2 linked regions of the Bombyx mori genome follow. The protein of the gene in region 2 interacts with the protein of the main gene of each other region in a pairwise test. Links are inferred from orthologs where the notes say so. Each region holds a gene or a part of one and is shown on either strand. Other genes may lie near its edges.

Evidence for each region.
Region 1: the proteins of CBP80/20-dependent translation initiation factor (region 2) and eukaryotic translation initiation factor 4E-binding protein Mextli interact in a two-hybrid assay, tested with the Drosophila melanogaster proteins (2 studies listed by BioGRID). The link is inferred for Bombyx mori from reciprocal best matches to the Drosophila melanogaster genes CG13124 and mxt.

The regions. Positions count from the first base shown.
Region 1 is NC_085110.1:13,302,790-13,310,162, forward strand, and holds part of eukaryotic translation initiation factor 4E-binding protein Mextli, read left to right. Parts: intron 1-70; coding exon 71-272; intron 273-802; coding exon 803-874; intron 875-1,200; coding exon 1,201-1,261; intron 1,262-1,779; coding exon 1,780-1,921; intron 1,922-2,942; coding exon 2,943-3,077; intron 3,078-4,033; coding exon 4,034-4,223; intron 4,224-6,029; coding exon 6,030-6,101; intron 6,102-7,373. UniProt on the Drosophila melanogaster protein: Plays a role in promoting translation.
Region 2 is NC_085114.1:13,989,662-13,997,034, reverse strand, and holds part of CBP80/20-dependent translation initiation factor, read right to left. Parts: intron 4,141-7,373; 5' UTR 3,542-4,140; coding exon 3,407-3,541; intron 1-3,406.

The sequences.
Region 1 (7,373 bases), on a different chromosome or scaffold from region 2:
TACACAATCTGATAGTATTAAATTAGATAACAGATGGTAAATAACAATATTGATCTTGTCATATTTCCAGCCTTTGCTGGTACCAACAATGGAGGGAACAGGATCAGGTGGGTCTGTGTCGCCTACGCTGGCTGCGCCGGCCGAGCCCCCTGCTATGCTCGGTCCTGGGGAGGTCATCAAACCCTCAGGAAAATTCCCCAAGCCCACCAAAATCCCGGGCAAGAATTACTCCAAAGATGAGGTTGTCATCAGGAATGCTGACTCTGGAAAAGGTATGTTGTTAACAATTAAACATAAAATTTATGTGTTCTAAGATGGCTTTCTTTAGAACACACAATTTTATGAAGGTAATTTTACTATTAGACATGCATGTGGTAATTAGTATCTTTATTTATTATATATAAGCTGATGTTATAACATTGAATATTTTAGTCCAGAGATTTTTTAAGAATGGTCAATTTATTCAGAACCATTTCAGTAGTGCTAAAGAGATTAACATATCAATGAACAAAAAGCAATTTTTCCTGTTATATTAGAATAAATATGCTTTAAAATCCGATTAGACTGAAGTTTGCATGTTAAGAGTGTAATGTTTAATTATGATTGAGTTTTCAGTTAAACCTTTGCATGTTTGATAAAGGTGTTGTAAAATATGTGTTGACTAAAGTGATGTTTAAATATTTTTATCTATGTTTGTTATGTAGACTCAAAATGAATTGTTATGTTGGATTTTTTTAAATGTTAAGGTTAGCAAATCTGATAGGGCCTGCGGCGTATCTTAAGTTGTATTGTGGTGTTCCAGTGATGGGTATTAAGGGCAGGAGGGTGCACATGATCGAGGAGCTAAGTGACACGATCATATCGTTTCAGCGAGGTATGAATGCACGGTGCAGGGACTGTGATGCGCTTGCGCATGGTGTTGCGACCTCCTTCTTCCTTCATATCCTATATCGAAATTTTCCATCACAAGTTTCGTTTACTGTTACCAAAAATATACATGATTCATTCTTTAACAATTACCAAAAATATACAAACTAAATAATCTATTTTATAATCCAAACTAATAAAACTCATCGGTTTTTATTGGTATGATTAAAAACAAGCATATTAATATATCATTGCCTAACAACCGCATCAAGCTTGTGCTTTACTAGAAAAGGTTAGCATTAATGATATTATGAGGGTCACTCCATATTTCAGTGAGTCCGGGAGCCAAGGAGCGACTAGTACAGATCACTGGACCGAATGAGGAAAATGTCAAGTAAGTAACTATACTAAGTTTTATAAACTATCAGACAATAAGTATCATGCTACTTTTAAAAAGTGCAAAATAAAGTTTGGGATGTTTCACATCAGATTTTTGCTGTAAAAAAATAAATTGACTGGTCATGCAGAAGAATTGTAAATGTGTACACAGCATTTGTTATTAGTGAATGGTAACATTGTTTAGTCTTGTGTAATTAATTATAAGCACGCGATTTTTTCCACGCGACTTATCGATAATCTCCTATACCAAATTCACACTGATGTAGTCTTTAAAAAATGATTCATCATTTGTAATGTGAAAAGTGAATCTACATTTGTACTGGGCAAAGCCTCCCCAACCTATGCGATAATTTTTAATAATTTTTCAACATAGGCCTAGATACTTCTTTTTTTATTATTTACATTACATAACAAAAGCTTTAGTAAAATAAATCACTTCTAGAAAAATGAAATAAACAAGAATGTGTAAAATAATTTTGGGAATACTTCAAAACACTAGTGCGTGTTTCGCAGTCACGCTAAACATCTGATTGGCGACACGATCCGTCGCAACGCGTCCCCGGTGCGACTGGAGGGGTCACTAGAGGCGCCCCGCTCCCCCTCCCGCGCCTCGCTGGACTCTGCCGCCTCTGACGAACCGCCGCGTAACCGAGAGGTACTTACTATACATACTTTAATTCGTCTATATAACGTCAGTATAACGAAAACACTCCTGAAGTCGAATCAGTCAGTAATATCGAGATTTCTATACTGGGTGTTAGGAGGCTGCTTCCGAAAACAAAGACAGACGATTTTCCTCCCATCTTCAAATGTGTCAGTACCATCATCTATCTTCGTTTTCGGCAGCAGTCTCCTATCATCCAGCATAATAAGACAAACTATAATTTTGAGGGTTGAAGGCGACATTTTTGCAACTTTACAGGAGAGCCATTGAAAGGATACATTTTGGAAAATAAAATGAAAAAAAATATACCTTCAGCAAAAATATACATTCAAATAATGGAGTAAAATTAATTGAAGTTCAATTAAAAACATCAAACTGTTGATGCTAATACCAAATAAAACGCACTTTTAATTATAAAGATAAGTGTCGCGTATTAAGCGAAATGTCCCTTAAACCAAATAGCCCTTCAACCCCCGTCGATATCATAAGGCTAAGTATAAAAATTAGCCAAGTCCACATTTCGTGAATGTGTATTACGTGAAAGCGAATACAGCGAAATTGATTTTTAATTGCATCAAATGACAAAAATACTCACACTACAATAAAAAACTCAAATGCAACACTTTTTTTTTTATTTATCGAAATTTGAATAAGCTAAATTTGCAATTTTTTTTTGTCGAACATTTCGCATATTTTCCTTGTATCTTAATGACTGTGGTGCTATGTATGTTCTATTTCTTTAATTAATATATGTACTTATTTCTCAGTGGATTTACTAAATTACTGCTAACTTCGGTTTCTGACTTTTATTGTAGATCGATATATAAAATCAGTGATACTACACTGTTGCACATCCACTGTATATTATTTAAAATATTATCTACCGACTGTAATAAAATCTGCTATTAACTGAAGAAGTATAGCAAATGTTTCACTTGCTATTATTATTAGGTTTAAAATAATAAAGTGGGAAATTCGAAAATGCATAATTAATAATCATTTCAAATTCCAGAAATCTCCTCACAACTCGAGAGCTCTGCTTCACAGTTTCTCTACGAATGATGCTGCACTTGGTGAATATAAGTACACTGTGACTTTCGGACAACATTCCATTAAGATCACCGGTAATAACCTGGATCTTGTGAAGGTAAGTTTTACTTCACGGTAATTTCTTATCTATTAAATTTAAAGGTTATCAAGAGAAAGTCGTTAGTTTTGAGAGAACAGGAAGATAAGATAAAGCAATCTGAATATGATAAAATTTTAAATCATTTGTGTTGAAAACTTTTGAATAGTAATGCAGTCACACATCTATTTTTTGTTCATGAATAATAATGAATGAGCACTGTATGGTAGTTTTTACAGAAGAACATTGGGTCTGGGATCAAAACTATAATGCTTCATGTATCAGTGTTAGTTCCAAAATTCGGTGGAGTAAATTTTAACTGACCTTGGCATATATCAATAAAATGAATATAGACCATGTTAAGGGCAGGCATAGTTGTGTACATAATTAAGTATTTCAGAAAATATATCTTGTATTATAAGCTTATTGGGAGTCTGCATGGTTTGGTACCATCATTTTGCATTTGATTTGAGTCTTATTGCAATATAACTAGAATTTTAACCAGTGTGTTTCAAAGTGGTACCGTGCTTGATGTCGCGCTCTCTACGCTCCGTTTCCCATCCAACACAATACCGAGTGTACCGATGTTGGTAAACAATTATCAATCAATTAACCTCGCTCTTTCTGCCAATATGATCTCATGAAAAAACAATATAAAAAGATGGATCTGCAGGCGCCTTACATTTTTTTTTATTGCTTATATGGGTGGACGAGCTCACAGCCCACCTGGTGTTAAGTGGTTATTGGAGCCTATAGACATCTACGACGTAAATGCGCCACCCACCTTGAGATATAAGTTCTAAGGTCTCAGTATAGTTACAACGGCTGCCCCATCTTTCAAACCGAAACGCACTACTGCTTCACGGCAGAAATAGACGGCGTGGTGGTACCTACCCGCACGGACTCACAAGAGGTCCTACCACAAGTAAAATTGCATGTTAGAGGTTAGGAATGTACAGTACACATTGTTGATTTAGACGGCGAAACTCGTGCTGGACGAGTACTTTGAGAGCGCGGGAGCACTGGAGGCCCTCGGCGCCGGCTCCGGGGACTTCTTCACTCTCTCGCAGCGGCCCGGCGCCGCGCTGCTGCTGCGGGACGAAGACGCCGCGCTGCACGACGACGACGTGTTCGTCCCCGCGCCCGCCGCCCTCCCCGCCGACGCAGGTGCCACTCTGACGCTAACTAACAGCTTTATCCTACCGACCGACATAGTCACCGAAAATAAATGAGCTCACAATGATAAACTACTATGATTTAAGAGAAAGCAAACTTGTACAATATCGATGGACTTACTAGAGTGATCTAGTGACGGAGACGATTGTTACTGGTAGAGCGTTTTGGGAGCCTACTTCGAGTAGGTACCAACGCTCGGCCTGCTTCAGTCTTATAGCACTGATGTGTTTGCTGTGATAATACAATTTATTTTAACCTCACATCTCAAAGTGGGTGGCAGTGTTCACGTTGCGTTACCTATACGCTCTATGTAATAGAATTAAAAAAAAAGAAACACTGTAGAAGTCAATTGTTTGCTGACGTGATGACTGGTCAGTATTGGACCTTGTAAAATATTCTCGCAATGTCGGTGAGTAAGTAGGTAATAAGGATCTTATGCAGACATTGATCAGTGATTAAACTCGAGTTGATTATTGATCTGACTCGTTTTGTGGAGTCCTTCGAGTATTTGTGCCTGCACGTGTTTCGTTTGGTGTGTTAATTTAAGGATTTCCGTTCAGAGATTTAAATATAATTTTTATATTGTGAGAATTAGGTGAATATAATTATTGCAGTGCAGTATGCGCACAGTAAATGCAAATACGGAATTAAATAAAGTTAGTGATGCGTGCTTGAAGTGGAATTTGGCATGGCTGGGTAGCGAGCGAGACGAAGTTTATTTTACAGCATGACTTTTTTCAATAATTAAGGAATGTAACTCTACCTGTGTGGCTCTAACTATTCGATAAATGCGGCTCCGTCGTGTCTGTAATGGACACATGACAAATGTACAAAATGGTAGAGGCGAATCACCAGTCACATCTGTTTAATCCTCATATGTTGGTGGTGGTTGTAACCGGTGACCTCGTTTCTTCCATAGTCAATATTACTATACTATACACTCGACAGAATTGTATTATATTCAATATCAATCATGTAACCTCGTTGATAACTTAGAACTGGTAGAGTTTCATTACAGTTTGTAGTAGTGACTCGGAGTGAGGACTGACAGGCATGCATATCTTTCAAAGTATTAATTTAGCTCATGTTAGAATCAGTATCGATGCTATCGAATTAGAATCACGTGTTCATTTATTAAATTTATTGTACGACTGACCGTATTATATCATGTATGTATGTATTTTATTTACTTACACTGAACGTGTATTACGTCACTGTGACCACCACCACCACATCGAACCGAGCGCGGCAGTGTTTTCCAAATTTTTTTGCGACCAGCATTCGTAACAAAACATTTTCGTAACTAAATCATGTGTCACTGCTAAAATATCATTCTATTCAGAAGCGACCGAAGCGAGCTTTATAAATTCTGCGATCCACATCGATTAATATTATATTCAATATTGCAATAATTGTTTTCTTTCAAATTAAAAAAAAATCTAATATTTAAAAAAAAAGACATGCCCGCTGAGTTTCTTGCCAGTTCTCTCAGGATGGAGGCTAGTTTTTGTGAATTGGCTGTAGTTCTTTTTAACGTTCAACAAGTGTGTGTACTTTCATTTATGTTGAATAAAAAAAAAAAATGATTTGATTTGATTTCATTTAACTATGGAGCGTTGCAAGTTTTTATACTACAAACGAGCGACATGCGGGATCGATAAAAAAAATCGCGTCGCGGTCAATAGACGTAGTGAATGGGGTTGGGGTTTGTTTGGCGGAGGTCTGCTTCTGAATAGTTGGGTGAGGGGCGGGTAGTGGTCGCGGTGTCGGCGCGAGTGTACGGACGGTTGTGTGCAGCCGCCGCCGACGGAGACCTCACGCCGCGCCGACCGCGCTTCTCACGCGCCACCAGCACTGACAAGAACCAAGGTAACCTCGCCCCACTGTCCCACCGACACGCCACACTCGCACACACACCCTACCCAATCTGCCCAGAGGGAATGTGAGCACGGGCCACGAAGCGATCGTGCGATTCCGATTATAATAGTATTACAGTTCATTGCAATTGAACTCTGACTTTGATTCGCTTCAACACAGTTCATATCAATAAAGCACTTTCGAATTCGATGACCTATTCGATCTATGCCCAGCAATAAAAAAGAAATAAAAAACTGTTTTGGAAATAGTAACTGGCAGTCTAATAAGTAAAGTCGTTTGACTGATAAATTAATACAACAGGTATTGTAGAACAAATTACAACCACTAAAAAAAGTCACGAATTATTTTTTTATATATATTTATCCTACCGCACTTAGATCTCTATTCTGTGGACTCATTGAGTGCTTTTAAATAGAAAAAAAATATTAAAATACCAAATAACAACTAGCAGCAAAAACAGTTTTTTTTGTCACAAATTGTCGCAAACATAATAACTGTAACAGAACAGAAACAGCAAAGTTCTCAAAATTTACTTACATTGATGTTTAATTTTATATTCAATATTTTATATGTACATGTATACAAATTTGAAATTAACGAATGTATGTATTGTAATGTAAAAATATCCAGTATGCAGTAATATGTAATTCATATTCATTTCTATCGCTTATAACTAACTATGATTCATTTCGATATGCCCATAATTTAACTAGAACATAAACATTCATTTTCTAGTTTCTTAATAACATGAATAGTTAACCAGAAAACAGACTACACCAATAAATATAATAATAATTTGAACTTAGTAAGCAATTATTTAATGTTTCATATATGTTTGTTCGCAACTAACATTCGAATATGCTTTATTGTTCAATAATATGAGAATGGTAGATCGTTTTTGAGCAAAGATGTTTGTGTGTTGGAAATTTGTTGTCTTTTTTATATTCAAAGACCGCTATACATACTTTTGAGGTTGTTTTTCTATAAAATTATGTTTCATTAAATCGGTACAACAGAACCAAGTCAGATAACTTATTTTTTGGATACGTCATATTAATGAATGTTTCAAACAATATCGACTCTTACAACCCAACTATACATTGGGTTGTAAGAGTTGGCTGTATGTGACGCGGTTCCAATTTTCGTTCCGAACGTCTGTGGGCAGCCAGTAAACCCATGTTCAGTAGTAACAGTTTAATGACAACGAACTCTTGTAACTTGTTTGGTTCTGATGTATCGAAATGCATACTTAACCCTTTGAAT
Region 2 (7,373 bases):
AGCATAAAATTTGTATGACCCATCTCATGACTCACCGGTATCTGCTCAAATACATACTTTAAAAACTTTCAACATTCACCTAAAATGTATTTGAAACTTTATTCTGAATTACACAGCGATCTGTTTTGATCTGTGTGCTTAGTGCGAGTTTTTTAACGTTCTCGATAGCGTAAAAGTTAGCTCATATTTGTATGGAATGGGATCGTTTGCGTACGTTTGCCGCTAGGGGCGCTATTCCAATTGCATACAAAATTGGCTTAACTTTTACGCTATCGAGTTAAGAAACGTGCACCACAGCTTGCACTAAGCACACTGACTACGAGGGTAGTAACATCTTTCGATTCGTAAGTACCACATCTTCACTGCTGGACATACACACATCGGCCCGCCGCGATACTTTCAGCTGGTGGGGATAAAAAAAAAACCACGTCCCTGTCACTAGTGCGGACCGATTATTTCAGGTGTTTGTTCAGAGTTCGACACCGACAACTAAATACTATAAATCCGTACAAAGTATGTTTTCGGAAAACTTCTAGCATTTTAATATACCCTAGTGCTGGTGGTTCGAGAAAGACCTGCTACGCACTGATAGAAATATCGTCGGGGGCGCATTTCGACGCTCCGCCGCACGAGATGAAGGTTTATGATTTTATTTGTCACAGCCAAGGTGTCAATAGTCTATATACCAGACATCCTTAGATTAGGAAACGTCACTAATAAATCCAGTTAAAATCCGATTGCCATACACAAAAACTAAAAGTTATATCCAACGCACAACGGGACATAACTCTTTTGGACGAACTCACAACCATGTCAGCGCCTTCAATGCCGATGCGCAGTTCCCTGATGATACTATATGATTAATCTACGCGACCTGTATCGTATGTTCTTCAGTCTTCGCATTATCATCATCATCTCAGCCTGTCCATTGTCCACTGTTGAATATAGGCCTTTCCAATTGATGTCCAGTGTGGCTGGTTCGTTGCCACCCGCATCCGGCGTGACCCAGCGATTCTCACTAAGACTTTGATGACATGACAAAATGTACTTCCAATAGTATGTGACCAAGAAAATTCTAAAGTATACCCAACGTTGGAAATAATAAAATTAAAAATGATAAACGAGCGAGATTAAACCATAAAACATTTTGATACAGTCGATGTTGATTCGAACGTGTACGTTTAATTTTGTAAAATTAAATATTAAAATAACAAAAACTTTCAATGATTAAATTACAAAATTGAGCCACACCTGAAAATTTACTGTTTCGCAAATCATTCAAAAGGTCTTAGATTACGTGTTTCGGTTGTGGGTGCGGTAGTCGCCCACATATCCAACGCAAATATATATTTGATATTTGTCAACAAAGAGTATGTTGTAAAGTCAATATAGGTTTTGAGTATTCATATTTTGCATCGCTTGGATTTGCAGCAAAAACATTTTCGAACGAATTAATTACTCAACTTCAGCTACAGCCTAACTGTTGCGAAAGAATCGTCCATGAAAATGAAAACTTCAGAGAACAAGAGCGCGCAATGTAAAACATACATGTTTTTATCAATACATATAGAAAACCAGTAACAACGGGTGTGTTTGTACAACTTCGATCAGCAATAGCACTTTTGCTGATCTAAGTTGAAAATGAGGATCACAATGAAAGCTTTATGTTATCTGTACTTTTTTTTACCTATCTATGCTGATAGCCTTGAGAGGCTATTTCAGCTTCTCCTTGGCGTGTAGATGAGCGCACGGGGCTCAAACCGGGAGTGTTGCTAACACTGGCCCTAGCAAGAGCAGTGCTTCGCAGAATCTACCACCGGATCGGAAACGCGACCCACTGAGAAGATCCGGCAAAAAACTCAGTGGGCTGTGTCTATGGGTTAATTCATTCGTCGAGCCCTTCGTCGCAAGCGACGGGTTCGCTGGCACCGTTAATGGATCGGGAGGATCTGTAATGACGTATTTAGGGCGACGTCGACTGTTTACCATACTGGTGGCAGGACCTCTTGTGAGTCCGCGCGGGTAGGTACCACCGCCCTGCTTATTTCTGCCGTGAAGCAGTAATGCGTTTCGGTTTGAAGGGTGGGGCAGCCGACGCAGCCGTTGTAACTATACTGATATCTTAGAACTTATATCTCAAGGTGGGTGGCGCATTTACGTTGTAGATGGCTATGGGCTCCAGTAACCACTTAACACTAGGCTATGAGTTCGTCCACCCATCTAAGCAATAAAAAAAAATACCATTCGGTCTACAGGATCGGGTATGACAGACAGTACTTACACTATAAGCAGGTTTCGTGGAGTAAAGACTACGCTAGATACAATGCTAGGCTAAATACAATGAAGAATGGTAAATAATACAAAGGGGCTAATTAAAGAACAGCGATAGACCAAAAACTAATGACCGATTTTTGGATTATTTTCTGTCTCTTCTGTTTTGTTTGTTCGCGCACTATTGAACGAACGCATAAATCTAATTATATCTTATTAAAATTTAAAAGGTAATAGTTAAAAAATAATGACAATTTTTAAGGAACACATATTATTGGAGTAATGTTTAATGAAATTTAAATTGTTATACAATTCTTGACTTTGCCGTTGAAAATTATTCTGAACAGGGAGAGAAGAGTCTAAATTTGAAGAAAAACAGCTCGTCTAACTTATTAATCATAAAAATAATTGGTGCATTCAATTGCCGCTCACTTGTATTTTAAACATTGAATGTTGTAGCAGAATATTTGCCGATAATCAAATGCGCAAGGCGCGACTGAAACTGGTGAAATCCAGTTTGAACACAGAACAAAGTAAAAAAATTAATAACTCTATTCTATTATAAGCATTAGGCATTGCAATAGGTTTTCCTGGCAAAACATGCAGTTTTATTACAGTATATAATCGTATCAACATTAGTTGTAGTAATTAACGTGTAGAAGGTTTTGTTAGCTTTTCTCTCGAACCTAGTTGAGCCGTTGTAACTATACTCAGACCTTAGAACTTATATCTCAAGATGGATGGCGCATTTTTGTTGTAGATGTCTATGGGCTCCAGTAACTACTTAACACCAGGTGGGACGGAGCCCATAGCCATCTACGACGTAAATGCGCCACCCACCTTGAGATATAAGTTCTAAGGTCTCAAGTATAGTTACAACGGCTGCCCCACTCTTCAAACCGAAACGCATTACTGCTTCACGGCAGAAATAGGCAGGGTGGTGGTACCTCCCCGCGCAGACTCACAAGAGGTCCTACCACCACTAAAATTCAGAACAAAATAAAACAATTAAACTACACAATTATGCTTATTTTTACGATTTAATTTGGCGTTCCTTAACAGCTTTAATTATATCTACGATTGCTGAAAACCAAAGAAAATACTTATTAAGCTGAGTTCTATTAAGTCTGTTTACCTGGTGATGATGCATGTTGTGATGCGACTGAGGACGTACGAAGCTCCGCTCCCTCATGATGACGCCAGGCGTGGCGAAGTCCTGGATCCTGTAGCTCCTCTGCAGATCATTGCCTGATCCTAATTGAGTCTGCATCTTGACAGTTACGTAACTTGCTCTCAAACACGAATTCCCTTCTTGCCTTCAGTGCACTCGACCGAAGTTTTCGTTAATTATTTCTTTTAGTAACAATTAAATTATGATTTTACAATAAACACACACTAGATCGATGACTAGTATTATAGTATAACGCGATGTCACATGTAACATATAAATATTGTTGATATTTACAACGTAATAAAAGAATATTAACTACAATAAATACGGGCAATACGAAATGCGACACGGCTAACTAATTAACAAGATCACAATTCAATTAATATTGTGACGTCACTTTAGAGATCACTTTTCTCCGATTTATATATGCATATATAATAATAATAATAATAATAATAAAGTATAATAAATATCCCTCTTCGTGGCCACCGAGAGGGCGTTAGTTCGTATTATATTATTTTTTTCGTTTTTTTTTTTTAATCTTTTATTTCTAAGACGTTTATCATACAAGAGCAGTGCAGTGATGTGTCAATGCCTGGCAGTCACCGAGCGATTCTATACAATATTTCGAGGGGCTGAGAGTTTCTACAGCACGAAGCTCGAATCGTTTTCGTCGTTGGAGTTATATAAACCCTAATCTGGAACAAAGCAGAGAATACGTTAATTTATATTGTTTTCAAATTCAAAATCATTTATTTCAACTTAGATGTCAGTATAACACACTTGTTGAATGTCAAAATATAAATAACAATGGTAACTCTACCACCGGTTCCGAAAAAAAGCCACAGTCCTGAGAAGAACAGGCAAAACAAACTCAGCGGGCTTTTTTATTTTGTTTTATTTTCAAATTTTTTTTTTTTTAATTTTTAAAAATATTTACAAATAAACGAAAAAACAAGTAAAAAAATACAATAAAAAAAAAAAAAAAAAATAATGAAAAATAATGATGTTGAAATGGCATTGATGTCAGATACATCAATGTATGTATGTGAATAGGACTAAACGTCGCCATATACACGTCATTACGGATCCTCCCGATCCATTAACGGTGCAAAAGCACCGGTCACCGTCCTCGCCGAACCCGTCGCTAGTGACGAAGGGCTCGACGAGAAAATTAACCCATAGACACAATCCACTGAGTTTCTCGCCGAATCTTTTCAGTGGGTCGCGTTTCCGATCCAGTGGTAGATTCGGCGAAGCACTGCTCTTGCTGGGGTCAGTGTTAGCAACACTCCGGTTTGAGCCCCGTGAGCTCACCTACACGTCGAGGAGAAGCTGAAATAGCCTCTCAGGGCTATCAGAACAGGTAGGAAAAAAAATTAACGCCGGAAGGATCGCAAATAGTTTGACTGAATATAATGCTTCATATATTATATACTACTTTTACATGCCTTTTTTTAATGCTTATATGGGAAGACGAGCTTATGGCCTGTTGTTTGGTGGTTACAAGAGCCCATATGCATCACCAACACAAATGCCGTCACTCACCTTGCGACATGAGTTCTAAGTCTTAGTTTTATAGTACAACGGTTGTACCAACCTTCGAACCGAAACGCATTACTGTTTCACGGCAGAAATAGGCAGGGTGGTTGTACCAGCCCCCGCGGGATCACAAAATGCCCTACTACCATTAAGACTTTTGGGAACAGTACTCATTTTTCTGGTTGAAAGACAATCTATGTATTCATGAAAAAGCTAACCATCATCATGATCGGTTGTTTACAGAATAGATTACAGTATATAATTATTTGTTAGATTTATTACACAAAATTTCATCATTAAACCACAAATATGCAAGCTCGAAGCTATAGGTATGACCCTAACATTTCTGAAGTTCATTGTTAATGAACTATGTACGATGTCGCATTAAAAACAACAATTTGACACTCTCTCTCTTTCTTCTTTAACTCATAATTCCAAACGTTGTCTATTTAAACAGGTAAGTGTTTTTATTCCAAACATAATATCCGTTGCCTCATCGATTCTACAGTCGACCTCGGACCGGTTTTACAAAACAACGCTTTGCAATGTACAGAGGGAAAAGAGGAAACAGGCGATTACGTCGAATACTCATTACGATGCCCTAGCGTGGTTGATGTGTCCAATGACGGATCTCGTGATAAATATGGTGTTTAATCTATACTAATATTATAAAGCTAAAGCGTTTGTTTGTTTGAACGCGCTAATCTCAGGAACTACTGGTTCGATTTGAAAAATTGTTTGTTTGATAGCCCATTTATTGAGGAAGGCTATAGGCTATATAACATTCCGGTAAGGCCAATACAAGTGGAGCACCAATAAAGAATGTTTCAAAATAGGGGTTTAAATAGCTCCTTAATATTCTATAATTCAACGGCCGTCTGGTGTAGTGGTAAGTGACATGGTCACTACACAAGGGGGTCGCGGGTTCGAATCCCGCCAAGGGAAGATATTTGTATGATAAATATAAATGTCTTTTCCAGGGTTATGGATGTATATTAAATATATGTATGTGTATAATAAAAATCTTACATTTATATCCGTTATCTGGTACCTGTAACACAAGTTCTTTACGAACTTATCACGGGACCAGTTAACGTGGCGTGATTGTTAGTAAATATTTATTATTATTTATTTATTAATTCAAAAATATTTTGACTTTCTACGTAAATGAAGTGAGGGTAAAATTTAACGTTATGCCAAAGTAACTACTTCACGCGAGCGGAGCAAAAGCTAATATTTAAATAATTGGCTATAGATACAGAAGTCAAAATATATTAGACCTTTGTAATGTTGTTGGTTAATGGTTACAGATAGTGATGGACAACGGTGACGCTAAATGCACTGCCGAGTAGCAGTCTATCACTTAGAAATATTCACAAATCGCGTTACAAGAAGACTGTAAGAGTCAACGCACAGGAAACATCAAGGAACTAATTTCATCCCATAAGTCAGATATTGCGTGGCCAAAAAATGTCAACACGCACCGTGGATGAACTCACTTGTTCCAAATACTATGAATTGGAATATGGATTCCACTCCTACAGAATGGAGATGACGGGATTATCTCCAAAAAACCTTCAGTGAACTCCCCATGGTTCATACGATATCAAACAAATGGAGATGTAAACTCCCTCCATAGATCCAGATCTCGCAAATGATCGGTTTCAAATGGTTTTATTTTCAGGGAAATACTTCTAAGATTAGGCGTCGTATCGAAATAAGAAAATGGAGGCTGTTTTTTTTAGTAACAGTAGGGTTTTAACCAAAAAGTTTTATCATAGACATTTTCTGTTTCTGTGTAACTAGTGTTCGAACAAAATAAAGACAAACTGGTTACTGGTGGTAGGACCTCTTGTGAGTCCGCACGGGTAGGCACCACCACCCTGCCTATTTCTGCCGTGAAGCAGTAATGCGTTTCGGTTTGAAGGGTGGGACAGCCGTTGTAACTATACTGAGACCTTAGAGTACTTAGAACTCTTATCTCAAGAAGGGTGGCGGCATTTACGTTGTAGATGTCTATGGGCTCCGGCTCCACTTAACACCTGGTGGGCCGTGAGTTCGTCCACCCATCTAAACAATAAAAAAAAACCTTTAAACAGAAAAATATTTTAAAAACGTGTTTCGGGACTAGGTTAAAAGCCTAGAACCTAGACGTAAACACATTACAAACGCATTTTATTGTACATATTAAAATGGACTTAAGCTTATTGGCTGGGCAATTTATGTGAAAGGGAATTGCTGGCCTGCTCGGAAATAGCAGACGTTTTTTGTCGATAGCGGGTATTCTTAGAGTTTTATTGACAACAATAACAATCTATTATTATGTTAACATTAATAATTTGTTGGTATGTTCGCTTTGATTATATAATAAATAATCTAGGGCAGATGA